4 linked regions of the Alligator mississippiensis genome follow. The protein of the gene in region 2 interacts with the protein of the main gene of each other region in a pairwise test. Links are inferred from orthologs where the notes say so. Each region holds a gene or a part of one and is shown on either strand. Other genes may lie near its edges. The genes, in order: CWF19L2, RINT1, FAM110A and DCX.

Evidence for each region.
Region 1: the proteins of RINT1 (region 2) and CWF19L2 interact in binary tests that used the Homo sapiens proteins (3 or more experiments, as listed by UniProt). The two-hybrid records come from large-scale screens. The link is inferred for Alligator mississippiensis from reciprocal best matches to the Homo sapiens genes RINT1 and CWF19L2.
Region 3: the proteins of RINT1 (region 2) and FAM110A interact in binary tests that used the Homo sapiens proteins (3 or more experiments, as listed by UniProt). The two-hybrid records come from large-scale screens. The link is inferred for Alligator mississippiensis from reciprocal best matches to the Homo sapiens genes RINT1 and FAM110A.
Region 4: the proteins of RINT1 (region 2) and DCX interact in binary tests that used the Homo sapiens proteins (3 or more experiments, as listed by UniProt). The two-hybrid records come from large-scale screens. The link is inferred for Alligator mississippiensis from reciprocal best matches to the Homo sapiens genes RINT1 and DCX.

What each region holds. Positions count from the first base shown.
Region 1 is NC_081824.1:437,556,473-437,563,655, reverse strand, and holds the start of CWF19L2 (CWF19-like protein 2), read right to left. Parts: upstream 3,014-7,183; 5' UTR 2,965-3,013; coding exon 2,881-2,964; intron 1-2,880.
Region 2 is NC_081827.1:26,521,426-26,528,826, reverse strand, and holds the start of RINT1 (RAD50-interacting protein 1), read right to left. Parts: upstream 3,004-7,401; 5' UTR 2,928-3,003; intron 2,886-2,927; exon of another isoform or gene 2,839-2,885; intron 2,831-2,838; exon of another isoform or gene 2,704-2,830; intron 1,642-2,703; 5' UTR 1,623-1,641; coding exon 1,446-1,622; intron 1-1,445. Other genes in the region: PUS7 (pseudouridylate synthase 7 homolog), read right to left, coding at 4,759-4,895, 6,274-6,365, 6,608-6,737. UniProt on the Homo sapiens protein: Involved in regulation of membrane traffic between the Golgi and the endoplasmic reticulum (ER); the function is proposed to depend on its association in the NRZ complex which is believed to play a role in SNARE assembly at the ER.
Region 3 is NC_081832.1:1,856,862-1,864,066, reverse strand, and holds the start of FAM110A (protein FAM110A), read right to left. Parts: upstream 3,007-7,205; 5' UTR 2,707-3,006; intron 1,407-2,706; exon of another isoform or gene 1,318-1,406; intron 1-1,317.
Region 4 is NC_081831.1:67,032,074-67,039,081, reverse strand, and holds the start of DCX (neuronal migration protein doublecortin), read right to left. Parts: upstream 3,023-7,008; 5' UTR 2,582-3,022; intron 915-2,581; 5' UTR 888-914; coding exon 524-887; intron 1-523. UniProt on the Homo sapiens protein: Microtubule-associated protein required for initial steps of neuronal dispersion and cortex lamination during cerebral cortex development. May act by competing with the putative neuronal protein kinase DCLK1 in binding to a target protein.

The sequences.
Region 1 (7,183 bases), on a different chromosome or scaffold from region 2:
GCTTGTTTTTCTGCAAGAGTCTGCTGATAAAAGTTTTTGTGATGGATAAAAGGGTTTGTTATGGCACACTCCAGCTACATCTGAAGGAAATGGCTCCTGGTACCAGGAAGAAGGGGAAAAACAATGATAAAGTGAAGACAAACCCCAAGTTGTTGAAGAAAAACAGGAAACTGGCCTAACTGGTAGCTATGAGACCAAAGGACTATAAATATTACCCCCCTTTCCCTTCCCCTCTCTCTCCTCCCCTTTTTCCTTCTCCTCCTCTCCTACCCTTTCCCTTCACCTCACCCTAACAATGCCTAAAAACTGAAGACATCTGATCTCCCTTCAAGGAACCAGAGCCCACTTTGAGACACCTGGCCAGCACTGGATGTGTGTATTAGGACTAGTAATATATAATTACTTGCTTGCTAAGATTGTATCTTGTTAATATTACTGAAACTGCTAAGATTATATCTATATGCATGCTTGTAGTTAATAACTTGTAAGGCTCAATAAAACGAATTTATTAAGAAAATAAATGGGTTCTAATTTGGAGAAAAATAAATAGATAACTGGGTCCTTGGTTGGAGGGAACATATAGGTTTTCATTTGGAGAAAACTGAAGCACACTTTAAGGCAATATCTATCCTACTGTTTGCTCTCTCTCCATTTGAGAGAAGAACCAGATGCCCCCTGGTTCTTAGGGCAATAGTGCCACGAGACCCTTTCAAGGATGCTGTGGTGCAAGTGTTCCCACAATGGCCAGACAGAACTGCCCCACAAACCTTGTGCACAGCCAAATCAGGAAGGGCTTCAAAACAAGCTGCACTCCTGCCTACATCAACGTTATCTGATTAGCCTCAAGGAGACAGATGAGCCTGCTCCTGTCACAGCTCTTTCCAGTCCAACCCCAGACTGTATCTCCTGGAAACAGAGGCACAGTGGACAGATGGAACTGTCCTGTGTACCTCTGTTTCCAAAAGAGATCAAGGGGGGCAGGTGGAGAATAGGGAGGGCTGTGGCAAGAGCATTTCTATCTGTTTTAGGCTCATAAGATAATTGAAATGCATCCAGGAGTGCATGCTTTTGCCACATCCCTGCCTGGTCTGGGTCTACACGAGGTACATAGGATAACTGCACTTGGCTGTGGTGGTAGTAGCTCTCTGGTTGAGAACCACCAAAGTAAACAGAATGGCACAAACCCCCACGGTGGTCTGGGGAGTTTGTAAGGAGTTGTGAATGTTTTCTTATATTTATTTCACTGATACAGAATGTGAGGTTTCACTGGGAAGGCCATGTTATGCTATATCTACTTATGTCACTTTTCTTACTGTATAGATGGTGTTATGATGTCTGTATACATCTTTGTGTTTCTGGACATCTCAAAGAACGGAGGGGTGCATACTTAAGGAATCCCAGACAGGCTGGAGACATCATTGGGTTGGGAACTCAAGGAACTGCCTGCCTGTAATGGGGAAATCTTCTCCTCTCTAGCAAAGGCATCTGTGAGAAAACACCCATCACCCAGAGGAAAGTCAGATGTCCCTGAAAGAGAAGTTTCTGGAGGATTCTGGAGACCCAAGAAAAACTGAGACCATGCTGATGGGAACAGGAGGGCAGTGGGCAAGGGTGTTTATAAGGTAGCCAAGGTCTTTGGATTTTTTCCAGGCTGGAGAGGAGTCCAGGACCCCAGCAGTCACGGCTGGTAGTATCAGCAGGGAGGCTGATCCCTAAAAACACTAGCAGTAGTCTCAGGAAGACTAGCATATAACCAGATAACACAGCAAGAATCTCTTTACTGGTCTTTTTGTTCCATCTCCAGGCCTATAGTCAGTTTTTCTTGTACAATTCTATCTTACTATAATAAAGCCTTTTGCTGTTTTGCACACCTTACTCTCTGCCTGTGGAAGAGAGCAGTCTCTGGGCAAGAGATATTTTAGGCTCGCTCATTCTATGGAAAGGGGCGGCCTAAAAGTTGTTACACAAAGCACAGGGGAGGCCACGTGGGGCTGCCCAAGATTCCGCTGCTGCAGGTGTGAGGTCCAGGCTGGGGCAGTGGAGCTGAGGTTTGCTGGAACAAGGAGTTATCCCAGAGCAAGCTTTGTTTGGTTCCTCAGGACAAGCAGCAAGATGGAAGGGAGAACCTTGGAGCTCTGGGGTACACCGTGAATGGTGTAACGGGCAAACCAGAGAGCAGCTGGGAGCCCTGCATACTCCTTGCGACCGTTCCCTGCACAGAACATGCAGCCTTACTTTCTCCCCATTCCCCTCTCCCTACAAGGGGTCAAGCAGTAGAAACTACTGCTACTGTATTTCCTGACATATCATGCACACCCTGATTTCCAGGACCGGTTTTTATTTTGTTTGTTTTTAAAGGAAAGGTGTTTGCACACATGAGCAAAATACAGCATTATCTAAGACTTGCAGGTTATGCACAACAAAAAAAGCACTTTGAAAAATTTGTATACACAACCTATAAGAAGGATCACACCAGAAAGCCGTGGGAAGGAGGGCCCTGCCGGCAGCACCACTTGTTAAACCGTCTCCCCAAGACGAAGACTTATCACACACTCCTCCCGGCTCAGCTGTCATTCATAAAGCACATTTTTCATGTCCCCAGTGCGGGTGAAACAAGGAATTGAAGTCTGTCCAGCGTGAACACTGTGCCATCGCAGAGGCTGGGGCAGGGAGGGCCGTGCCCTTCACATGGCGCCGCCCGCAGCTAGGAGGTCTCAGCCCACAAAAATAAACCCCCCTTCCACGGGTCCGCCCCTCGCAGGCCAGCGGACGAGGGGACAGCAGCCAGGGCCCAGCGCCCCGCTTTGGACAGGCAGGGCAGGGCCCTCCACGTCCGGCCGCCGGCCCCAGGCCCCGTGCCGGGGGACCCGCGTGCATCACCTGCAGCAGCAGCGACTCGCGATCCCACCGCCGCTGCTCCCTCCGCGCCGCCAGGCTCCGCTCGCTTTCAAACCCGGACGCCATCCCCGGGGCTGCCGGAAAGCACCGCCAGGCCGGGCTGTAATACGGCACTGCTGGGAAAGTGTCGCAACAGGCGCCGCTCGGGCGGGGAGGGGGGGGGTCAAGGTCCTCCAGCAGCCGGGCGGAAGTGACACCCAGGTCCCGCACCACGCCGGAGCGAGTTCTACTGGGACTCGAGAGCCTCGTAAGGCTGCAGTCAGAATCGCGGGTTCGAGTCCCTGCTGTGGATATTGAAATTTTCCCCCAGCACGTTAGACAGAGAGCGCTGAGCGCTGGCTGTGGGTTGGGTGCTTTGGTCAGCGATGATCCTGCCTCGACCCCGGGAGGTCCCTCCCAGTGCTATTTGTGTAGGGTCCTGTAAAGGTCTTAAAATGTAGGTTTGCCAGGTGCCAGAAGGGAAGAGGTAATCAGGGCTCGTGGGCAGAGGTGATCTCTTTTATTAGAGCAACAAGATTTTTGCAAAAAAAACCAAACAAAACCTTTATTTGCAAGCTTTGGGGCACAAACACCCTTCATCGGCTTTGGAGAAAAGATGGTAAAAGTTCTGCTGGGTGGAAACGAAAGCTTGTATTTCGTAGGATTTCTCAGAGGGGTCCGTAGATGCAATCAGCATTCTGAAGGCGGGTCAAGTCGCGTGGGACAGATGAATTGGAGATCAATAAACTTTCATAAGCAACAGCTCCAGGGCTGTCCAGCAGTCACCCTGTCAGCCGTGTGTGTCGTTGTCGTTCCCCACCCCCTGCCAGCCATGGTTCCCCTTATCGCTCTAGCTCTGGGGCAGGGTGCCAGGGCACGGCACAGGAAGGCATGCCCGCCTCAGGGTGGGCAGTGGGGAAAAGGCCAGGGCTGCACTGCCACAGCAAGGATTGGGCCCCTTGTGGCTCTCCTGCCATACTCCCCTGGCACACCGGCATTGTACAAGTTGAGCTTCTGGGCGTTTTTTGGTGTTCTGCCTAAAAATATTACTGACTCCTGCTCTAGCAGTCCGCAGCATGTGGCCTTGGTTTACAGGCAGCAGGCAGTGTTCAGCAGCAACAACCCCGCTGCATGGGCTCCCTCACCTTATTTGCTTCTACTCCCCATACACAACTGGGCCCTGCACTTCCCATGGCAAAAATCCTGGCAGGGTGAGGCGTTGGGAGAGCACCATTCCACTCAACCCCTGCCCCTGTATACTACTGAGCTCAGGGCTGCCTGACTTCTATGGGCATTTATACACATACTTTTTTGTCCCACAATACGCTGGACATTCACCGCTTTGGAGCAGACTCAATTAATTGAGTCTGCTCCGCACGCGAGCTGAGGCACGCTGCGCCACACTGTGTGCGGTTGTGTAAGTTGCAAAATGTACATCAGCGTGTAGAAAATGGTGGCAGTGGGCTTATGAACTAAAGCATCTCCAATGTGTTTTAGTTCAAAAGCACGTCACCATCATTTTCTCGGCACTGATGCACGTTTCACTGCTAATACAACTACATGTGTCACAACTGCAGCACTTACATGTGTAAAAATGCCCTGGGACTGGGCCAGGCTGCTGTAACAAAGACTCTCAAAAGGGGTATTCTGGTGTCCTCTGTAAGTGAGCACCTGAGGCAGGTGTTCCACTCCCTAGTTATACTACTGGTCTGTAAGGCCACAGACCTGCAACAACTTTCTTCCTGACTTCAGACTGACATCGTGAACTCTCTCTCAGATTATTCTGAAAGAAGGGAAGGAAATGAGAAAGGAATTTTCTCAAGGGAGACGGATAGAAAATTAAACCTGTCAACTGTATTTTGGCTTGTCAGCATTCTTGAGACATGTTCAGTAAAACCAGAGAAAGGTCAAAAATAAAAAAGCTTCCAACCTTTCCTACTTTTATACATTAAAAAGAAAACAAGAAGAGCGTAGTATTTTTAAGATCTGCTGCAAGTTACCTTGATGACCAGCAAACCACCCTAGCTCTGTAAACTCCTTGCAGAAAACAACAAGTTAATAAATGAAAACCTATATGCATCCATACCTTGTCTCCACCAGGGAGATACCTTTGTGCACCATATCTCAGTTTGAAGAGTATCTCTCTGTTCTCTTAAAACGAGCTGCATAGTCAAGTGGTGATTCCCATGGTAAGTTATCTTATAACCTTCACTGCTACCACTTTCTTTTAGTGCATTTTGTGATTTTTTTTGTTCCATAGAATTGTGAAAAAAAGAAAAAAAATATATGTTTCCAGGAAGTTTGATTCTGTACCATTTACTTCAAGTAGAGAATAAAGTTTCACCAGAAAAAGAAAATGCTCTCCCTTTGAAAAAACAAAATTTGTTTGCCACAGATGATAGCTGATAGTCCATTTGGGTAAATCCTGCATGTTGCTGTGGGAGTTTTTTATCTGAATCAGCAACCTATTCTGAAACAATAACATAAAAGAAACATCAAAGGCAACAAGGTGGCTAGAGAGTTAGGTGCATGGAGGCTAAAATGGACTGAATCTAATTCAGTTCTTAATTTGTTTATTTTTAATACACTCCCTTTGTCAGTGTGTTACTTGTGTGTCTGAGAGAAAATGATAGCTCAGCTTCGGACAGGAATTTTCTGTGGCTGGTGAAAGTAAAAAAGTCAATCTCATGAGAAATTATAGAAAAAAGCAGATGATATAATCACAGAGAAGGGCATTTTTCTTCAATAAAAGTTTTACTAAGTTTCCTTCAAAGAAAGAAAAGGTGGGTGTATATAAAATTAAGTGCCACAAAAATGATAATATACCATCTGACAATGGAGCGGTCAGCTCCACTGAGCTGGGTGAAGGTCTGAGTTGTTCAATAGCATATTTTACTTTTTTTTAGTCAAAAAGAGTCCTTGGCACCAAACTTCAGCAACCAAACAGACTGTTTAACACTGATGACATAGAAAGCCTCTTGCAAATAAGAGTTTAGTTTTCAATAAAAATGAAAAAGCAGACTGCTGTAAATCTAATGAAGATCCATCTATTGTTCCATATTTAATATCAAACCATGTGTTGTCTAACACTAGGCAATAAGTATTTTGTTAATTTGCTTAGCTACTGAGAACTCAAATGGTATTGTTAGCTATAGTTAAGACACCTAAGAGACAAAGTTTGGAACTAAATCCATTTTCCTCAAACTTCAGGATTGTTTGTACCCAGAGTTTTCATTTCATGTCATTCTCTAGTGACATTTACTAATGTTTGTCATAAATGTTTTGTGACAAATCTCTTTGAAACACATACATATATATTGCATATAAAGTGACAATTTTTCAGTATTTTGTTTTTTGAACAGGTTGTTCCTTTTTATGAGCAGGAAAAAAAACCTGAATCAAGTGGGTACAATAACAGCAATTTCTGTTTTTACTGCTACCTCAGAAAAGGCTTGTGGTTTCTAATGTCCATTCATGGTCAGCTCTTTTTCTCTTATATTTACTAGCCTAGTTCCCATCATCTTCCCCAACAAAACTTTCCTCTCCTCTCCTCTCCTTCCCTTGCCTTTGCCTTTCCTTTTCCCTTCCTTCCCCTTCCTTTCTGCTGTACTCCACTGGACCTGAAAGATCTGCAGGTTCCTGTAACACTTAGTAGCTGCCAATACCACGATGAGATATAAGCAATAATCTTGGCCATTTGGGACTAAGGCAGACATTTCTGTAGTGTTACAAAGCTGGTAGCACTACAAAGAATACAGTGCCGTGGGCAGGCACACATGCACAGTCCCTTTGCTGGAACAAGAAAAAATTGTCGCAAAGGCACATTCTTCAGCCAGAGGACAATATGGCATAGCTCCATAGCTCCCTCTGTCCCCAGGGCAGCCTCCATTGCAACAGCTGACTGGGACCAGGGACCCTTGGTAGCCTTTGGTTTCCAGCGGCCTAAAAGCTCCAGCTGCCTGCAGCATTTTTGGGGTACATCTATCAGTTTTTTTATGGAACAAAAAGCCTGAATGTGGCCACAAGCTTTTTGTTGTGCTAAAACAGTAGATAAATGGGACAAAATTAACACTGATCTAAACTCTAACTCAGATAAACTGACTGGAGCCAGGAGCCTTAACTAGCCCTGTTGGGGCCTTATTACACGGTAAATTTGGGTGGCTCCTGGATCTCCTAGCCCCTTTGATGGTCCACACATTAACACCTTCAGTGGTTTAAACCTTAAAGCCCTTGTTATGCGACTACTGCAGGGCAGGGTTATCTCTTGAGCCACACCACCCAGCTCCTGTTCCATTAAGTCATGTCT
Region 2 (7,401 bases):
GTCTATGAAATCTATGAAATATGCTGTGCTTTGGTTTTGATTTGACCTGCACAGTCAACTAGGTGAATTCATAACTTGATTTTTGGTTTCGGTTATTATGCAAGTGTATTTACCCTCCTGTTTACAAATCAACAAAACACATATGTACTCTCTCTCACACTTCCTAGGGATAATCACCTGAAAAACATTAATTACAACTCTGAAACTGCCAAGCTTGCCTAATATTGTATTGGCATCAATTATGAATTTTATGAAACAATGAATTTTTAGAAATGGAAAATTTCCCACATAAAAATAAAACACTGGAAAATTTTCCACCCCACATCTGAGCTGAGCTAGTTCACAAGAATGACATAGTATCAAAGCCTTACTTACTACTATCTCCTATTAATCTCTAGGTGCTACTAAATTAATAACCTGAGGATATGTTCTAGTATTGTTCCAGATATCAAACTTAGACTGACTGGCCTGTAATTCTTTGGATCCTCTGTTTTCCCTTTTTTCAGTTTCTGGGACGTCATACAACATCTATGAGTTCTCAAAAGACAATAGCTAGTGGTTATGCAATCATTTCAGCCAATTCCTTCATTAATTAAGGAGCTATTGATTTTTAAATATCTAGCTTACTTAGGAAACTTCTAACTTGTTCCTTCCTTCCTTCCCAGGAGCTCAATACACACACCCCTCCCCTCTCCACAGTAAAATATACATGATTGTTTACTTAAGGATGTAAAAAAACCAGCAGTTTTTCTGGCATTACTTAAAATATTGCAACACACTATTTACCTGAATCCAAAACAACCCTCAATAATTAAAACAACCCGCAATAATTAGATTCTATATATGGAAAATGTATACACTTGTTTTAATTTTCCATATATAGAATCTAATTATTCCATCTTAAATCTCTTCCCCCCACACACAGTGCTGCAGCAGGGAAAGCAATGGCAAGGGTGCAGACACTAGGGGGCAGGGGCAGTAGCAGTAGCTGTGGTTCCAGCTGACCCCAGATCAGGGCCAGCGCCAGAGCTGCAGCAACTGCCTCCCCGCCACCACCTCCCTGTACTCAAATCCAAGATGAGGGGCTTTTTCCCACCATGTTAAACAGGGGGAGAAAGCATCGTTTTGGATTTGAATAAATACAGTAAGTACATATATGGTTTGGCAACGTACAGTAAAATCGCTGATATCTGGCACAAATGGGGAACGAGGGAGTGCTGGTTCTGTAAAAATGTGGGTTACCTGAGGGCACAGGGTTTCCACCCAGACATGGAGCCGGAGTTGGTGGCAGCAGCCATATGCAGAGTGGGGGGTGGTGGCTGCATGTGGAGCGGAGGTAGCGCAGTGTGGTGGGTAGCAGCAGCCACATGCAAGCTTTCCCCCCTGCTCTTCTGTCATACTGTTTTTACTACATTAGTGAATTTGAGAACTGTGAGAATGCTTACCTGCTCCTCCAATTGCCTTTTGTTTTCTGAGAGCTCTTCTATTAGCATGCCAAGTTTTGTTAGGGAATTACGATCGTTTCCAATTTCTCTTTCCACAAATTCAGATACATAGTAGGGTATATCACAGTGATCTGGATCTCTAGCGACTAGTTGTCTTCCAACTTTAATGGCCGCCATTTTTTCTTCACCTGCAGCACTGAATTACAGGATATTTAGTTAGCCACCACCAACACAGAACTACTGACCACCAGAGTGAAATAGGGCCAGAGAAAATTCAGTTCAAAACTATTCTGTGAAAATACTGCTTCCATAAGACTATCCACATGCATAAGTTTTTGTGGGGATATGGCCTTTGATCCACAAAGTATGACACACACACACACTCATCGGCTGACGAGTGCACAGAACCAAAACACAGCTACGAGCAAGAAAAGTTAACCAGCTTTTACTCCTCTGACACTATATTTCTAAAAGCTACTTGATTTTTGGACAGGCATTTAGTAAGCAATCCTACTCAATTTACTAAGATGAGCTGTGTTTGGGGAGTTTATGCATACTGTTGATATACAGGAGGTGAGGGGGTGCGTGAGTGTATGCGTGCGCGTGTGATCTGCTTTCATAAATTATTTTTTCTGTAAGCCGCCCTGAGCCTGTTTTGGGAAGAGCTGCAACAAACATCTAGTAAATAAGTAATTTTATTTTTGGTTTAGCATATAAAAAAATAATCGAAAATGTTGGTCCAACTCCTGCAACGACCTTCGGCAGCTTTGAAAACAGTGAAATTCACGTGCGAGAGCTGTCTGGTCAGGTTATCATCCCTACCTCAACCACCAGATTAAAAATGTGCAAAATGTGTCAAATATTTCATATGTGCAGGCAGCTGAAGAAACCCGCGGCCATTTGAACATTAGCTTAAAACTTCTTTGAAAGAAACGCGTGGAAAAGGGGGAAAAAAAACCTAGAAACCATTTATACTCGTTAGTCTGGTCACCGCACCAGCAGCGGACAGGCTTGGCCCGTGACGCTGCAGGCGGTGTCTTTGCCTTAGTGCCTTTTGGCTGCTTCAGTCCGGCACAGCCGCAAGGGAGAGGAGAGGAGGGCAGGGCAGGGCAGGGGAGCGGAGCGGGCTGCCGGCCGCGCTGTCGCTGTCGCTGCGGGCAGCCGCGAGTCAGCGCAAGGCCCGTTTGTGGGAGCAGCGCCACCCCCAAACCCCGCGAGGAGTGACCGCGGTCGCACGACTCGCGCAGCAGCCGCCCACCGGGACGAGTCTCATCGCAGCACCTGCAGCAGGGCCGGGCCGGGCCGGGCCGGGCCGGGCCAGGCCGGGCCGGGCTTCCCCCCACTCCGCTTGCAGCCGCCGCCACTCCCGCCGGGCCCTGAGCCCCGCCCCTACCGGCCGCGTCCACAGCCCCAGGTCCCGCGAGAGGTGGCGAAGCCGCCCGAGCGCGCGGGTCACGTGCCTACAGCGCTAGAACAGAGTACCTGCCACGCGCGAGACGCACACGCGAGGAGGCCCCTCCGGCGGTTGTTGCCGTTATTGCAGTTCCGCCTCGCCCCACCCCCAGCGAGGGGCGGAGCCTGGCACTCAGCCCCGCGCCCCGTGGCCAATGGGAGAGCGCGGTTGGGTTGGGCCGGGCCCCGCCCCGCCGCAACGCGCAGGGCAGTGAGGGGCAGCCAGGTTCCCGCCCCCGGGCTATCCTGAGGCGGTCTCGAGGACGGCGCACAGGCTGAGGGGTGGAGGGTGGCGCTGTGCTGGTCTAAGGACGGTGACAGGCGAGGTTCCGCGGGTAAATCCCAGATCTTTAATTAGACCAACTAATGCAGCTTGGTTGAATCAAAAAGAGCCCGGCCTCAGTGCTCTGACGAGGAGCAGAGTTAACCCAGGGCTTTCACACAGGAAGCCTAGCTGTGCTGTTCTGCCACAGAAAACCTGCTCCATCATGTCTGCTATAGGCAAAAAGAGCGGGACGCAGGAGTGGGCATTGCCCAAGGGCGCCTCTAGGGCAGCCAGAAGTCTACACAAAGTTTGGGAGCAGCTACAATAGTGTGTGCTGAGATGTGGAAACACCTCTGTGCCCCCAAAGGCATCTCCCTCTGCTCCCAACTAGAGTCAAAATTTTGGAAGTTTTCTGTTTTACTGAACACCATTCTGCAAACCGCCACAGCGGGTCGGGGCACCAGCCCACCCAGGATGTCGCCTTTAACCAGCTGAGAGTTTTTTTGGGTTTTTTTTTAAAGAAATGAACGGGTCAGCCATACTAGGAACAAAAAATGGCATCCACCTGCAAGCACATACTGCATCTCCACCGATACTTCGGGCAGTTCATTTTTTTCCCCCCCTCTCAAGAAAAGATACTTATGTTTTTGTATTATTCGCACACAAATCCAATGCTCAAAAGAAGACACAAACAACTTGGACTATTTACACAATTTATTAATTCAAGCAGCAGAAAACAAGTGTGTTTGGTTGGTTTTTTAAAAATTATAACATCGAAAATGCAACAGAACTGCTGTTAGAATGGCTTTTTAATCCTTTGGTGCCGGGAGATTGGATTTGCCCAGCTCATCCACTGCCAGCAATGGACCCACCAAATTTCTGGTGCCCAGAAATTAGCTGTTATTCATGAATACTCATCTGGACTTTTTGGTTAATTTGTTTTTGTTACCTGTTCTTTTGTACAAGTACTCTTAGAGATGAAAACATGCACAATATTTTCATAATAAAATTTAGAGCTCAAATAATTAAAAATAGCTGTATCTGTTTACATCACATAAAAAGGAATTAAAAGTTTTGCCAATCGATTCATTTACCAATCAGTGCAAATGCTACTGGCATTCCAACGCTACTCAAATGTACTCCTCTGAAATAAATATTAATTCTTCAATTGTATTTAATAATTCTTCTCTGTAACATTAGCATGCTTGCAGTGACTTTTATTCTGTGCTGAACTGATGAAAGTATATTCAATGCTCTCTGTACTTATAAAGAGAAAAGCAATTTAGTATTTCCAAAAATCTGAGATTGCTGTCCTAAGCCCATTTCTTCTTAAACTGTAGTTGTGCTAGAGCTTAAGTACATTATGGGCTCAGGTAATTAAGAAAGCCAAAGCATTAAGTTTTTTTTTGTTTTTTGTTTTTTACAAACACCCATATTGCAAATAATTATTGAATTAAATGCTTAAGCTAAAAAAAAAAAAAACTTAAAAAAATACAAACTTTTTTCTTCTAAAAATATTCAATGGTTTGCACAGGACAGGAAAATATGAAAACTCATTCATATTTTAAAATCTTTATGTAGTTTTACAGCATTCATTCAGCGAAGCCACGTAGTATTCAGCTGTGTCTGGTTTTTTATACTCGTGTCCATTTTTAAGACTTCTCGAATTGCCATGGTAGCGTAAGTGGAAGGAGGAAGAGAGAACTCCATCTTCAAGGCCCTGAATTTACCCTCTGTTAGGTATGAAAGAAGCAAATAAACATTTCTGATGCTGTTCTGTCATCACATCATTTGTCCTATTTTAAATATTTTCTCAAAGTGGTAATCTTAGCATGAGGTTCACAGATTGTAGGAGGCTGGAAGGGACCTTGCAAAATCGGGTCCAGGCCCCTGCCCTAGGCAGGAAAGACAACTGGGGTCAAGTGACCCCAGCGAGGTAACTGTCCAGTCTCCTCTGAAGATTTCCAGGGTAAGTAATTGTACCACCTCTGGAGGGAGTTTATTCCACAGTCTGGACACCCTGACTGTGACAAAGTTTTTCCTTGCATTAAACCTGAAATGGTCTTCCCAGAGCTTGTGGCCATTACTCCTGGTTTTCCCCAAGGGTGCCCTGGTGAACAGTTGTTCGCCAAGCCCTTGATATAGTCCCCTGATGTAGTGGTAAGCTGCTACCAAGTCCCCTCTTAGCATTCTCTTTTTCAGGCTGAAGAGTCCCAGGTCCCTCAGTCTTTCCTTGTATGGCTTGCCTTGCAAGTCTTTGATCATACAGGTGGCTCTTCTCTGGACTCAAGCAAGGCCCCCACAGTGAGGGAGGGAGTCAGGTTAGAGGCTGGGGTGAATGGGGCCCTAAGGGGTCATGGGACAGAGCTGCTGGGAGAGGTTGGGGGGGGGGCACGACTCACTGCCGCTCACGCACCCCTAGGGGAGCCATGGGCAGGAGGGCCAGTGCCCCCCAGATTTGTGCCCAGGGCAGAGGCAGGCTACCTGCTGTGGGCTGGGGCTCTGCTGCCTTTGCCCTGGGAGCCATGCACTGGCCATGCATCCCTTGCCCAACCAGTGGCATTGTGTGGCTCCCAGGGCTAAGGCAGCAGGGTGCAGAGCCCCAGCCTGTAGCCTGCCTCTGCCCCAGGCACAAATCCAGGGGCCTCCCATGCCTCCCCTGGAGGTGCATGCAGGAGTGGGGAGCCTCCCACCCCTCCCCTGTGCCTCTGGACAAGCCTCCTGCAGCTGTGTCGCACAACCCCTGACCCAACCCGTCTGCCTCTGCCTGCCTTTCTGTGTGTCTGTCTGCTCCTTGCTCACAAGCCACAACCCCCCCAGCCCCGCTGCTGCCCCTTGCTCCTGACCTACAGTATACCACATCCTGCCAGGGTATGCAGGGACCCTCCCCCCCCTCCTTGGTCTCCAAACTCTGTCCCCACACACACCCACAACTTCACAAATAACACCCTCCCTGCCCCCCCCCTTCAAAAATAGCATCTCACATTCAGATCTCTTGATTTTGAAGAGTTTGTTTCAATTTTTGACAGGGTTGGGGTTGGCAATACTGTTCTAACAAACTTTATACTACACCAGGTCTGTAAAAATCCATAGAAATATTCTTACTCTTACCTTTAGGAAGGACAGGTAATGGTTTTTCCTCCAATTTGTCCAAGTCCGTATTAAATAATGGGATTTTAGGATCATCATATACAACAACCTCCCTTTATAAGACACAGGACAAGACCTTTTTATATTTAATTTTGAAGTATTCAATACTCATAAGTTTAACACACAGTTCCCTAGTTTGGGCATAATATGCAAAAAATATAAAAGATTCACATATATCATGCCAGTGAACAAACTGCAATATTAACCATGAAGTAGATGCACAGGAGAACAAGGCCTGTTAGCATTTTTGCAATCCTACTATTTCAAATATATTTCCCTGTATACTACTACTAACCAGTTGACATTCTGAGGTCGAATGATGATCTTTCTGTAAGCTCCAGATAATGAGTAATCTCTAATTTTGTGTCGCATGTTGTTGATATCAAGATTGTCAGCAGTTAGCATTTCCTTGTAGGCATCACCAACTGCAATAAAAGGAATCTTTAAATAAATGAAACATTAAGTAAACTTAGTCTTAGCAGAACACTCAAAAATATTAATTTACAAGCAATTATTCCCCTGTTTTCAAAATTCTTGAGATCTCAGAAGAGATTTAGCATATACAATGTTAGCAACTCCTGTAAAATATCTTTTTTCATAAAGCCCCACCTGCTGGAGTCATGTGATCATGCAAGAATCTGTTTCCATTAAAATATTTTTCTAGTCCTGATCAAGAAAACACAACTGTAATCTATGTTAAAAACCTCATAATAAGAGAACTATACATTTATTTCTTCTAAAAAACCTTATGGTTTTTGGCATCTTACTGGACAATTCCTGAAAGTTAGCAGTTTGCAAAACCACACATATTTCAAAAAAGGAAAAAGGAAAGGAAAAAGAAAAGGAAAAGGAAAGAAAAGAACAGGAAATAATTGTTCCTGTTGCTGGAAGTGACAGGAACAAGCCAAGTGGGAAAACTACTTTAAAAGCACAGGAATAAATTGATAAGGAAATTTAAATTAATGCCCTAATAATGCTAAACCATGTTTTAACAGCCTTATACCTCCTTTAATTCAGGGATGTCAAACTCAAGCCACATTCCTGCAGGATCCAGACTGCAGAGCTTCTCACAGGCAATGGAATGAACAG
Region 3 (7,205 bases), on a different chromosome or scaffold from region 2:
CCGTGCCCTGCCCTGCAGGTGCCGGCCACCCCCAGACATGCGGAGCTGGCTGCACCCGCCACCAGGGGCCCAGCCTGCCCTCCCCTCCTTCATCCTCGGGAAAGGGGGACTTCAAACCAGCTGCCGGGACCCCCTTGGACCTGCCCCCGGGGCTCACAGCCTGCTTGAGACATGCACCCTTATCCCAGGGCTGGTGGCTTCCCCCCAAGCCCTTTAGCCCCCTGCTCCCATCCCACAGGCCAGGGCTGGAGGATCCCCGGGAGGATCTCAGGTGGGTGCCCCAAGGTCTGTGCAAAGCTCCAGACACTCCCTGCAAGTCACCGAGTGGCTGGGGGGAGCAGGGGGAGGCCGTGCCACCTGCCCCCAGTGTCCCCTCTCTTGAAGCAGAAATGTCTGTAGCTTTGGCTACTGGTACCCCAGCACCCACCCTGTCCCGCTGAGGGCAAGACGGGGCTCTCCAGAAGACGTGGCACGCTGCTAACAGCCCCTGGCAGTGGGGAGGTTTGCCCCAACCTGCCCGCCAAGGGCGCCGGGCTGCACCCAGGCACACGCCTCTCCACACCCCCGCCGCCCCTGCCACCCCTTCCCAGATGCCTGGTAGAGGCCTCCCAACCGGTCGGACCTGATGCCCGGGGAGAGCTCGCCCCGTGGGCGGGAAGACGAGGTTCAAGGTGCCACAAAGAGCTGCCGTCCGCCGGCACGAGACGGGTGCGGGGAGCAGCGTGCGGAGCTGGCACCCGGAGGAGCTCCGACAGGGAGGAGGTGTCCGTGTGCTCACCCCGGGAGAGCGCTGGAGGCAGACCCCACAAGCCCCAGCCTGCCGAGGGGTCCAGGGGACCGCGACCGCGCTCAGCCAGTGCAAGCCAGACCCCAGGCAGCCGGTCGCTGCTCCGGTACCCCCGTCCTCCCAGGTTGCTCTGCCCCCTCCACGCAGTCGCTCTCCTTCCCCGCAGGCCCCCAGTGCTGGGGAAGTCAGGTTGCTTTCACATTCAGCAGGCTCCTAACGTCAGCAGGTTGCTTCATCCTGGACCATCCCCGCTGCGGGTTGTCCCTTCCCACCCCAGCTGCCCCCGCGCCCTCCGGGGCTGCCTCTGCCCTTGCAGCGGAGCCAGGGGATTCCCGGGCCCCGGCCCCCCGCTCTGTGCCCTGCTGCCCTCGCACTCTGAACCCTGATGTTTGCACCCGAGCCGGCAAAGGGGCCGGCAGAGAGGCCGGCCGGCAGCCTCTCAGTGCTGCCCGCCTGAGCCCCCTCCGCAGTCTGGCATGGACCCTAGGCCGGGGGAAGGGGAAGGGGCAGGCAGATGGCAGGTCACTCACCCCGTGGCCTCCCCCTTGCTCCAGCAGCTGCTCCCGGGAGCTCCCTGCTTCCCTGCAGCCGGGAAGGGCTGGCCCACCTGCTTGCACCACTTCCTGTTTAGACTCAAACAGGGAACACCTTCCCGGCCAGGTAGGGCAGGGCCAGAGGCAGGAGCCAGCACCCAGCAAGGCAGAGCAATGGGCTGGCACCCAGAGAGCTCCCAGCTGCTGCATGGGAGGGCAAGGGCCCCTGGGCAAGGAGGGGGCCTGCCAGCCTGGCCCTGTTGCCCTCGTCCCCTTCTCCCCAGGGGCCTGGATACAGCTGGCCAGGCCCCCGCATAGACATCCAGGGCAGGCGGCATGATGGACGGATGGACAGATGGAGACGGGGGAGTCACTGTGCACCGTCATGCAGAAGCTGGCTCTGAGCACACAACACTGCCCCGGCCCTACCCCCATCTGCTGCAAGACACTGGGGGCATGGACGTGCAGGGAGAGAGGCAGTCTGGCCTCCAGGGCCGGGGCGTGGGCCTTGCCCCCTGCCTCTGGGGCGGGCAGGCAGGTAGGTAGGTGCCCCTGCCCCCCACTTCTATAGGGCACAATCTGCTCTGCCCTGACTGGGCTCCCAGGCTTGGCACCGAAGGCACTGCCAACACGGTCTGGGAGGCCAGCGAATACAAGGCAACCCTCACGCACCCACCGCATCAGGACTGGGTCCCTTGCCCTGGTGCCCTGTGCTGGATGGCAAGTCCAGGATGCAACAGCTATTCCTCAACCAGCCCTGGGGCACAGCTGAGAGCACGCGGTGGGGGCGACCTCTGCTTTTAGGGCACCCCTCAGCTTTTCCCCCCACCCATTTCACAGACTTGTGACCCCCACCCCCCTCGCCTCCCCTGCAAAGCACCGTCTCCACCGAAACAATAGGCTCCGCCGAGGTGCGAGCCCCGGCTCCCAGTCACCTGAACCCGGCTGCCACTTCAGAGCCCAGCAAGGGCCTGATAAGGTTATGAAGCAAGAGCTGTGGAGGGATCAAACACGCCCTGCAATAACCACCCACCCACAGGGATTATCTTTATGATGCAGCCCCTCCTTGACTCATTTTGTGCTGAGATTTGGGGGCTTTTCAGCTGCATCCAGACAATGGGGTGACTTCCCTGCTGACTCATCACCGGGAATCTCCTGGTTCCTGCACAACCCATCCACCTCCGGGATGCCCTTCAGGCACAGCTAATCCAGCTGGATGGATCTGGTGTGAAAGATCAGTGCCCGAGCCTGAAACAGGGGTACAGAGACACTCGCCTCCGCCAACACGGCTCTCTCCGGGCCTCTAGAGCTGCCTCCCCGAGTGCAACAAAGACCAAGACTTCGTGTTCTTGCGAGCATGGCGGTCAGGATTGGCAAAGCACTTACCGACCCAGCACCGTGCGACTGCACGAATGCAACCGAGCAGAGGGTTTTGTTGGGGATGAGGTGCAAACCCCAGCTGGGCTCCCAAGCTCGAGGTGCTGCTCAGCTCGGGGAAATCATACGCTGGCTCCTTCCAACTCTTTTATCCTTCAGACCTGGCCGGGGGAGCTGGGCTTCCTGCGGTTTGGGACAAGGCGCCACACAGTGAGCTGACTGACCAGGGCACCACAAAACAGATGGTCCTCCTTGGAGCCTCCCTGTTGCCTCCCCTGCTTCATGCCCTGGGTGATGGGAATGCCTTGCAGCTGCGCTGGCTAATGCTCATCACCTGGACACACTTGCTCATGCTGGCGTGTGGTTGGAACTGCCCACAGGGATCCCAGTTCGGGGCACTGCCAAGCCCAGCCCTCTTCTGTGCTTCAGAGAACAGCCAAAAGTCCCGGGGGGATTCCTCCCAGGTCGGGGCTGCTCCTTTAGCTGCTGTTTGCAAAGCTAACCCTATTTTGACTCATCTGGGGGTCCCCCGGGCTCTGCCCGAAGGCAGCCACAGCCTCCAGTAGGGAGGAGCCGTGCCTCTGCAAGAAGCGTGCCCAGCCCCGCTCCAGGGCACTTCCCAGCCTGCCCCCCCCCCCGCCCCACAACCGGGCAGGACCAGGTCTCACCCAGCGCACCGGGAAAGGAACCCCCCTGGGTTCAGGGGCCAGCCCCACATGCAGACCTGCCCCCTTGGCTTCCCCCCTGCCACACAGAAGCTGCAAGCTGGGGATGCAGGGGGGACCCCCATCCTGGGACAGGGGGTCTGCAGGTGACCGGCTCCAGGGGAGGGGGTCGGGGCCCAGGCTCACCGGGCAGCGCAGCCCTCACGCCTCCTTCCCACTGACTCCGAACGGCGCGCGGCCGAGGTCGCTAGGCGACTGCTGCAGGGGACTTTATGAATGGAGGCGGCGGGAGGATTTCCTAAGAGCCTGGCCCCATTTCCCCTCCAGTGCTGGGAAAGAGAGCCCCCCCGGCACGGACCCTGCTTGCACCCGGCGGTGAAGTGGGGGAGCACTGCTACCCCTGGGGCTCCTCCACGAGCCCCCTTATTACTGCAAGCCCTGCCCCCATGCCTTCCCCTGGCAGCCTCTCCAAGGGCCGGGGGCTGTCGGGGATGGGGAGGGCCCTGGTTGGAGACGCCTTCCCATGCGCTGCTGGTTCCTGACCCAGAAAGAGCAGTTGCTGCGAGTCCTGGACGTGCCAGAGCCCCTGGGCAGTTGTGACTGGAGCTGGGGTCCGACACGGGGCCGCAGGGGGTGGGGGGCATCCTAGTTTCTCCCTGCCCAGCCTTGCATGCACAGCCCAGAGCCCGGGGCGGGCATCACAGATGTCATTATCACCGAGTCGGGAGGAGAAAGGGCATCTCCACCTTCCCTGGATCAGGGCTAGTGAGTTATGGGGCTGGATCCTGTCGCCCGGCACTGGCTAAAGGGAGGGGCTCTGTCTTCTGCACCCCACAACGGTGCGCTAAAGAGAGCAGGGCCAACCTGGGCAGCACAGAGCAGGGGGTCGTGGCCGCCCACCGGCTGTCAGCCCAGGCATGGGGCTGTGGTTGCTGCATGAGCCTTGCAAGAGAAGATACCCCCCTCCCTGCACCCCCAGGAGCCCCCTGGCCACGCACAGCTGCTCCGGCTTTGCACCAGAGTCCGCGATTCAGCTGACAAAGCAAAGCAGTGGGATGGAAACAACCCCGAAAGTGGTGTCTCTGCCAAGTGGGACGGGGAGTTGATGAAGTGAAAGGGATGGGAGTGAAAGCCGGACATTTGCTGTCGCGCTGGACGGGCAGCGCAGATGCAACCCTGGCTCCGCTGGAGCAGCGAGGCAGGGCAGGGGGAGGGCAGCACGGAGACCTGGCTGGGACCGCGGCTATCCTAGCGGGGCACGCGTGAGGCCTGGTGGCTCGTGATGGGCTCCGGGTTGTCTGGCAGCGACTTCCTGCTGGGAGCTGCCCCAACACGCTCCGCAGCGAAAGTCGGCACCTTCTCCCCAGGGCGTTTCAGTCCACCTGGGAGAGCTTCGCAGGCCTCGCCCTTCTGGAGAAGATCCCCCGGGATGACGGGGAGAGCTTCACAGGCCTCACCCTTCTGGGGAACATCCCCCGGGATGACGGGGAGAGCTTCACAGGCCTCACCCTTCTGGGGAACATCCCCCGGGATGACGGGGAGGTGAGCCGAAGCTGCCACCCAGTAGGAGCACGAGGCGTCTCCCAGGCACCCGTGGTCCTGGCTCAGCCCAGCTAATGCCTGGATATGCTTGAAAGGATGGCAAACATCTCTCTCTCCAGAGCAAACTTGGATGGCTGTCCCCTTTGCAGCTGGGATGGGCCATTTCCCCTTTAAAATGGACCGGCAAGTGCAGCGCATGGCGATCCCACCCGCCTTCTGCGTGCAGTCCGGTCCCTGGGCTCCCAGACCCCGCGCCGGGGAGGCCGAGCGCTTCCCGGAGCTGAAGGCAGCCGTTGGAGCCCTGCAGCGAGCCCGTGACCTGCCCCTCCCTGTAACAGCCGAGGGAAGACTCGCTGCCAAGGTTCGTTAGCTGACGCCACCAATGAGCAGGCTCTGCCCTTGCAGAACAAGAGCGGCGAGTACAATCAGCCCCTTCTAGCACGCGGCGCTGCGAGGTCCGGGCTCCCCGGAGCAGGGAGGGGAGAGCCTGGCAGGCAGCGGGCACAGCCCCAAGCAGGAGGGGAGCTGGCAAGTCCCCTACCCGCTAGCTCCCTGGCCATGTCCTGCCAATGGATCAGGGGGCCGAGCGCCAGCAGCACCAAGACTGCAAGGGATGGCTTAGCCCCAAAAGAAGAGACTCATGAGGACATCCCTGGCCTGCGGCTCCACCCGAGGGGCAGAAACCCCTTGCTGGTGAGTGCTTGAGGCCGCAGGCAGGCTCGGACTCCACGGCCGGGGCTGGGCAGAGCCAGAGCAACATCGTCCAGAGGTCCCAGCCCCGTGAATTCAGGGCCAGGACTTCCGCCCCCCTGTTCTGAACCCAGACCGAGTCTCCAGCCCCCGCACTAAGACCGAGATATATAGGAGCCACCCAGTGTCTGCACAGTGGGCTGCTGTGGCTCCCAAGCTGCTGCCCGGTGGTCTATGTCCATGCCGTGGCAGCAGGAGCTGGGGCATCCCTGCCAGCAGTGCCCTGCATCCCCACCATGCATCTCCCTGGGCCCAGCCTCACTGCAACCGCAGCAGGTGTATTAACGCCCTCGCAGGCCTCTCCAGCCCTGGTCTGGATGAACCCCTCTGCCCGCACGCTGCATGGTGAGGCCCAGAGTGTGCCAGGGAGCGAGCATCCAATGCAGGGCACTCTGATGCCCGGCTGGCATGGGGCTGCACGTCACCTTCCTGCGGGGCGGGCAGAGGGAAGGAGCTGGCGTGGCTGTGCCGTGGGAGTGGGTCCAGAGTATGCCTTGCTCGTGGGGCCTGTGAGAAAAGGAGGGGCTGTCAGCTCTTCTCCAGGCGCCGGGGCATGGCTACCCCGGGCACACGCAGAGCTGGGGCCTGGGCATCTCCAGGGACCTTGGTGCTTTGATATGGCTCCTGCCAGCTGCCCCTGGAGCCCGAGGACCCTTCTTGCTGTGTCCCTGTCCCAATTTATTCCTGTGTCCAGGACGTCGCACCTGTGTGTCCCCCCATCTCTGCTGCCTCCTCCAGGGTGGGTGGATGGTGACTCCTGTCCCTGCTCCCCTCTCTCCATCTTGCCCCCGAGCAGGGACAACCCGCCGCAGGGTCCCGACGAGGCAGCCACGTCCGGGGGCGAGCAGCATGTGCAAGAGGCCGGCGGCCCCGCAGACAGGAGGCACACTTGCGGGGTCAGGGGTCAAGGTCTGGGCTTTGCAGCGAGCTGACCGGCATGGGCAGGAGGCTGACAGATGGAGATTTACCGGGCGCGGACTTCCCCACGGCCGGGCCCGACGCCCCTTTGTTCCCACTTGATGACTGTGACGGCGAATGCGGCCGCGAGGGCCCCGGCGGGTGCCCTCTCCCCAGATGGCTGCGCCAGCGGCTGGCGGTGGGGCCGGGAGCGGCAGGCGCGGGCGGGCCCCTGGGGACCGGCTCCTTTTGTCACGCCCTGGCCCCTCCCCGCCCGGACCCCCAGGCACAAGCCTGTCAACTTTCAACTTGACCTGCTCCATTCACATGGAGATCGCATGCAAATGTGTCCCGAGCTGCAGGCAACCTGCAGCACCCCCTTCCCCGTTCCCAGCACCCCGGCCCCCACAGGCTCCCCTCTTCCAAGTCCCGTCTGTGCCTGGCTCAGGACCCAGGGCCAAACAGAGTCACTAACCAGCAACGTGACCCGTTTTGTCAAGCTGGGGGGGCTGGGAAAGCCGGTCCCGTGCTGGCCCCCTGAGCACCATGCACGCCAGCCCAGCCTGCTTGAACTGCCAGCTTTGGAAATGGGAAAACTGAGGCTGTGTCGGGTGCGGTGCATGCCTGCAGGTGCCACCAGGCTGGCACGGGATG
Region 4 (7,008 bases), on a different chromosome or scaffold from region 2:
CCTACACAACCCCTATGCTACTCACACACATCCACATACAGATACAGTGTGCCCAAAAATTACTCCCATACACACTCACAGATATACTGTGCAGTCCCCTCAAACACACAGTCACCCCCAAGTATACCGTGCACTACACCTGCAACTGCAGGCACACAGACATGCACACCTCTGACCATATCCATTGAAACACCCCTACCCAGAAATGCCTGTATATTTACGTGCCTCAAGTACAGGTATGCAGAACCCCTTCCCACACACGCACTCATACACACTTTCTATCACAATGCCTCATTTTTGTATTTGCATAGTTTATTTTATTTCTAAAATGCTTTTCAGTCACTTCCCCAAAGCTCTGGCTGCCCATTCAATGAATTACAACTCCACAATACAGACAATAGTATAGTGTCATCTATTGGCCACAGAAGAAATGTGACTGTCGAGTCACAACCAAACAGTGCTACATAGTTCTCCCCCACCTCCTCACCTGACCGTAACTCAACCGTCGGACATTGCTAATTACCTTCTTCCAGTTCATCCATGCTCCCGATCTTTCTGGCTCCATCAATGGTGTAGATGTAACGAACTCCCTGAGGCAGGTTTATGTTATCAGACAGGGACCTGGTCAGGTCAGCCAGCAAAGCGTCGAAGCTTCGGAAGCGGTCAGAGGACACAGCATATACAATCCCCTTGAAGTAGCGGTCCCCGTTGCGATAGAAACGCACCTTCTTTGCTTTCTTCTCATTACTCAGTGCCTGTAAGGTCCTGGTTCGGTAGAAGCTACAGTGAGCACTATGAGTGGGGCTGGGCAAGCCATTCATACGTGAGCCTCGCATGTTTCTGGACGCCTTATCTCTTTCGTCAAAGTGTCCAAAATCAAGTTCCATAGTTTGGTGACCCCTAAAGATCTGAAGCTGAGTGGAGGGAAATGAGGAGGAAAGAATATGAACAATATATTAGACTGATCAAAACCAAAATCTGGGAGAAATTACATGCACTCCATGCCTGGGCTTTTGTTTTTTGAGAGCAGAATTGGTTTATTTTAAGAGTGACCTGTATCCTGCTCACCCTCACCTAAATTTGTATTGATTCTAGGGGGTGGGGGGAAAGAGGGAGGGATCTTGGGCTTTTTAAAAAGGATCCAATTATGGGGGAGGGGATATATTTTTGAATAGCAGCTTAGACTTTGCACACTGAAGTTCCTTGCTGTTTCCAAGTGCAGTAAAATGAGACTTTGGGCTGGATAACTGCAGGGAAATGATAAGCAGAACTCCCAAATCCTGTCCAAACAACAACGGTTGGTAATGAATTAAACCCTTGAGCCTTGCAAGATTTCCTTTGGCTGCAGAGAATGAGCAGATCCCTCTGAGTTAGGTTTCAATCTGTGGAATCGCAGAAGGACCTAATGTGTCTGAATATTTCAAATGAGGACAAAACTGGTATTTCTGAAAGAATGGTCACAGGGGAATAGCCATTTTCTTTGTGACAGGCTGGTCAATAAGGGCTAGCAATCAGATACAGCACTCCCTCCCCCACTTCCCAGCCCCCCTCTCAGCCCATCAATCAATTTCTGAGACCATCCTACATTTCCAAGAAAAAAAATGTCTGAAAAATCTGTCATTGCTATGAGGTTTCGATGAGCTATTGTCAGTTCACAAATCTGTCCTGGATTTAGTTCTGGTCCTATTTAATCAGAAGGGGAAAAAAAGAAAATAAAATGGGGTATTTCTTTTATCTTTCTTTTTCTTTTTTTTTTTTTACCCAAACCTTCCCATCCTTAAGGAAGTGATTTCATTGTGGAAACTATCCTTGTGCAAATATTCACATCATGCCACTGCAAGCACACCTTTCATTGTTCTGAGCTGTGGTGTATTACAGGGAGGGAGAGAAAGAGAGAGACTGGAACCCAAGAAAGGCAGCCCTCTGGGGAAAATTGCACTGAGCCAGAGATCAAAACCAAGGATGGGCGATATTTGTATTTTCTTTAAATGAAACTTAGTACCAAAGAAACAAAAATGCAATAAAACCAAAAGACTCCCCCTAGACTTGCAATACAGAAAACCTTCCAAGGCTGTCACTCCACTGGGCAAAAACTATTTAACATGCACCTCACATACGTTAGCAGTGTGTTCACACCAGACAGAAATGGGATTAAAATCTAGTGGCTCAGCGATCAGCTCCCAATCCTAGAAAAAGCTGTTGCTCTCTTTCCCCACCCATCAGATTTGCCAGAACAGGTCCCATTTTCTGTATTTTACAATGTCACCGTGACCTGTCCAAGATCTCATTATTGTCTCTAACATGCAGCAGAGCAGCAATGGGTAATGCCAGCAATTTTCACATAAATCCCGAGTTGCAAACATTTCCCCTCTCAGTGCCAATTATGATACATGTGCTTTCATGGCATGCATAATGCAGTGGAATATTCAAGCAACTTTCCAAATGAATGGGAGGTTTTTCCAGGATTTTTTTTGGAAGCTGCAGATGCTGTGACACACTTAAAAGAAGGTTTCTTGTTTCCCTTTTGTATCTGACATCTGTTTCTTTCTGCATAGAAGTCACTCATAAAAGCTCTACTCACCGGTTTTCAGCTCGCAGGGTGGAGATGCTGAGAGAAAGAAAACCAAGCTCCCTCTGCCTTTGTTGTCTGAGCTCCAAGCAAGAAATTCCTGCCAGGGTGGATGAGACTTCTCCTAGGTCCTAGTGCCTTGTGCGCCCCTCATCAGAAAACTCTGCCTCAGTGGTTTTTGAGTGACTGATCCTTGGTTTAAAATCTCCTTGGCTGTGTTGTCACAGAGAAGAACAGCTTCATTCCAGTTCTGCCTGCATTTATAGCTAAGCAAGAAGAGTTAAGGGGGCAGTCCCAAAGTCATTGCTCACTGCTTACTGGAAGCAAAAGTCCCACTGACTTCAGCTGATCTAATCACCCCAGCAGCATCTGGCCCCAGTTTGGAGGGAGCAGGCAGGGAGTAATTAGATGTATGCGGCAGTGTTAAAGGACTACAGCTGCAGGGGGGAAGAGCTTTCACTCTGTAGCATGCAACCAGTTTTGACTTGAATGTCCAGCATATCACAAGAAAGTGAATAAATGTGCGCGGGGAGGCGAAGCGGCCCAGCTCTTTTCTCATGAACAGCTCATCAAATTCATCATGGTTTCTGTGGCTGTAAAGGAAAGGAGAATTTGACACTGTGGCTCTGCAGTGCTGCACCTTATCATAATTTTTCTTTGTTAATATTTTTGGGATGGGCCTGAACCCCCTTTCTCTTAAATTTCCCAGGGGCACAGAGTTGAGTAACTGGATCCAAATTGGGCCCAATAGATTTGATTCTGGGTCAAATCCAAAGCTAGAAGAGGATAATTTTCTCATTCCAGCAACAGACATTTCACAACAGCTGATTCTTTACATTTCTGTCATCGAAGCCAAACATCTGAAAGCCATTCACATTTTCTGGTTGCTCTTTGGAAGGAGGTGGTGATCCCTGTGAGTTATACACTGCAAAAAACCCACCATAATTCACACCCCTGTTGCTATTGGTCTCCATCTGGTCCAGGATAGATTGGGCCATAGAAACAGCATGATCCTGTCACCCCTGAGGAGGTCTTTTCAAACCAAGTGTATTATAGGGGTATAGGAGGTCACTCTCCAGAGTTGGCAGCCTGGTACATTGTATCAGTACCCGCTTTGTACAAATACGTTTTTAAAACAACAGAAGTGACACAGATGAAGTCTCTCTGGGCGATATGTATTTCAGTTGCATCTATCCTGAAAGGGCACAGAAAGTGTTTAAACAAATGGATCAAAAGGTGCTCTTGTTTGTTTTACTGTAACTTCTGTAAGCTCCACCCTGACACCTAATGGAAAAGGTTATCTCTTAACCCTCCAAACCATCATTTGCCATTTGTGGAAAGTATTCTGATGGGAGATAGCACAGCATCAATGGACAGCTCATGGCTTTTTTTTTGCGTGTAAGCAATGAGAAGATAAAATACAATACAGTGATCACACCTCTGGTACAGAGCACATGGACAGGCCCTTCTTTTGAAATAAATGAAAAATAAAGTAGAATCACTATTGACTCCAGCATGATCCTATGCACTTGCCATTGACAGAGATACAATTTCTCTAGCTGATGATCACAGCACTCATCCCGCCTTGTCCCTCAAACGATTGGAAAGATGCCTGAGGCACTTCCTCTATATTAGTTCCTCTTTCATCCAGCCACTATCAGAGAAAGAAGATAAGTCAGTAGCCCCAGTGTCAGCGATGATGAAGACTCTTTCAAACCAGTTTCTTTTGTGACTTACAATAACATGAATCCAGAGTAACTGTGAATTACTCCATATTACCCCAACGCTAACGAGCACTGAATCCGACACTACAGACAGCTGGGGGCAACCAAATGCAATATGTGAAGGAGAGCCATTTCTAGCACACTTTGGGGAATCCGTGGACATGGCCCACCTAGATTTGTCACATACTAATGTCAGGGGTCAGCAACCTTTAATTGCAGGCTGCCTCTTGCGACCTCACACCCCAGCCCTCCCTTCTCTCTACTCGACTTATCCTCATCCTCACCTACCAGCTATTATCATTTCCCATCTCCGACACTGATGTGGTGCCACATATGTGGTGGTGTGGGGCATTGCAGGGTGATGGAAGGCGCCTCCGCACAGAGCAGGAAGACCAGACGCAGCGGATGCTATTGGCAGGATGCATTAGAGAAATGCATGACCCAGGACAGAAAAGGTGCTCCCCAGCCTCCACCGCTGTGTGCTGAAGACCTCACCTTTGTGGGCCAGATCCAATCTCTTCACAGGCTGGATCCAGCCTGTGAGGTACACAGATTGCTGATCCTGGCTATTTATACTTCCTTTGACCCCAGTACAGTTACTCCTGATATAAAGTAGGTTATATTAGGAGGACAACCAATCCCCTGTCTAAATCACTTTAGGCAGGATAAGTGATTGAGAAATCGGGAATACATCTCTTATCGTCCCATCAATAATTTTATTTATGTGAAAAGGAAGGTTAAATTTAGGCCCCCAGATTAAATTACCTGTTCTAAATTAGGTGAATTATCTTTACCTAAAGTAGAAAACATTTGGTCTTTTCCCTGTGTAATTAAATCTGCCTGGCAAGGCAGTTCAGTCCCTAGTGGCAGCTTTATTCCATCTTGGAGTTATCATGATACTTTCTGAAAGCATGGAGAGAGTCTGCCAGTTAAAGGCGATTTGCTGCTATGTACCTAACCCCGGTGCACCGAAAACCCTGACTGACATCACTGGCTCTTCCAATTCCTGTGTCACAAATCTGCCATGCAGCATCCTTATTCCAGAAACCCTTCCTGATGGGGTGATGCATTTTGCAGTCAGCATCCCGTGTACATGATAACTAGCTGAGGTCTGACTGCTCTGGTGAGGATTCTGTGATAGCATAGCTAAAATTCTAGCTGCTAATTTGCTTTCAAGAGAAGTCTTTTCAAAGCAGTCTTGGGTCCTTAGGCACATCTGTTCCATTAATTTTCATTTACAACCCCTTCTCTGCTGTGGGGAAAAAAAATCAAACTTGAGCTCCCCTCTTAACAATTTTTTTTACAAGAATTTTAAAGTCAAGGCTTTCAGAAATGGCAAGTGATTTGGGGAGCTTCAGTTTTTTGGAGTCTAATATAAGACATCTTGAAGGAGCCTGCTCTCCAGGGGTGGGAGTCCTCAGCACTTTGTGACTTTCTAATGAGGCTCACAATAAGCACCCAGAAACAGATCTACAAAGCCAACAGTCATTTTTGAAAGCCTTAACCATATATCACATGTATCAGGAGTCATTAGTGCGATTGGTGTGCGCCTCCAGGAACTGTTCTTATAAAGGTCTATAGAGTAAAGCCTCTCTGCACAACACTCTGAGCTCATACATGATCTGGAATTGGCAGGCTTTCACAATATAACATTTGTTTCCTTTTGAGATTTATTTTAATAGGAACCACACACATCTGAATATCATGTAAACCCCAACATTACAGAGCCACGTCATCCTGCCTGCCTGGGAGGGAAGGGAGGAACCATTGTATCACCAATCCTCCAAACCCCAGTAACTCTCTGTGGAGGTTGGTCAGGCCATGAGTTCACAAAACTGGAACAACTTGAGGGTAAGAGCGTTCTCTGAAGGGTGGGTTATCTCCTCCCATATGCTTTATAGGAGCAGCATCTGGTAAATGAAGCCACAGCCAGGTCAGCTCACTTGGAAGCACTCGTACAAGTGGGCTGGATGGGCTAGAAGGTGCCTGAGGGGATGTGGGACTTCTCTACAGTTCATCCCAATCTTCAGCAACTCCCAGAGATCCTCCATGCTCTCTGGGGATGATTAGGGTGTCTGGCAGCTAAACTCCCACAGCACTCTGGGGAAAGGAAGCAAACCTCACTGTCCTCTGATGGAATAATAGGAATCCCATTGTGAGTTCAAACTCATGCTATCTATAGGTTATTAGCGCGGGAAACAATACTTGAAGTGGTTTACTAACTCACTCACTGAAAACAAGCCCATCATTACATCATATCCAAATGTGAATAAAGATTAAAATAAGCAATCTCAGCCCAGAAGAGGAATGCCTATCCCACTAGACTGTGCTCTGGTCCTTCATTCCCCACTACAGAAGGCAAAACAGCCACCTTTTCCAAATCCCAGTGATCCTTCTCACATGAAAATGAATTCCCTGCACCAAATAAATAAATGTCCCCAAAACCCAGAAGGGCAAAGTATTGAGTTACATAAGCAGAGTTCTAGCAATTTTGCAGTAGCTAAGAGCATTGCATTTCCCTTTAAACCCTGGAAAGGTGGGCTTGTAAAGCTTGCACAATCACATAGAAGTCTCCATCGCTTTCTCTGGCTCTGCCCCGGGAGACTTGCAGACCCCTGCAGAAATTGTCAGTATGTTTCTAGCTGACCTGCACTCTGTGATATATGATCTGTTAGTCCCAGTAAGGTCACAATGGATGTATTTCCAGAACAGCCA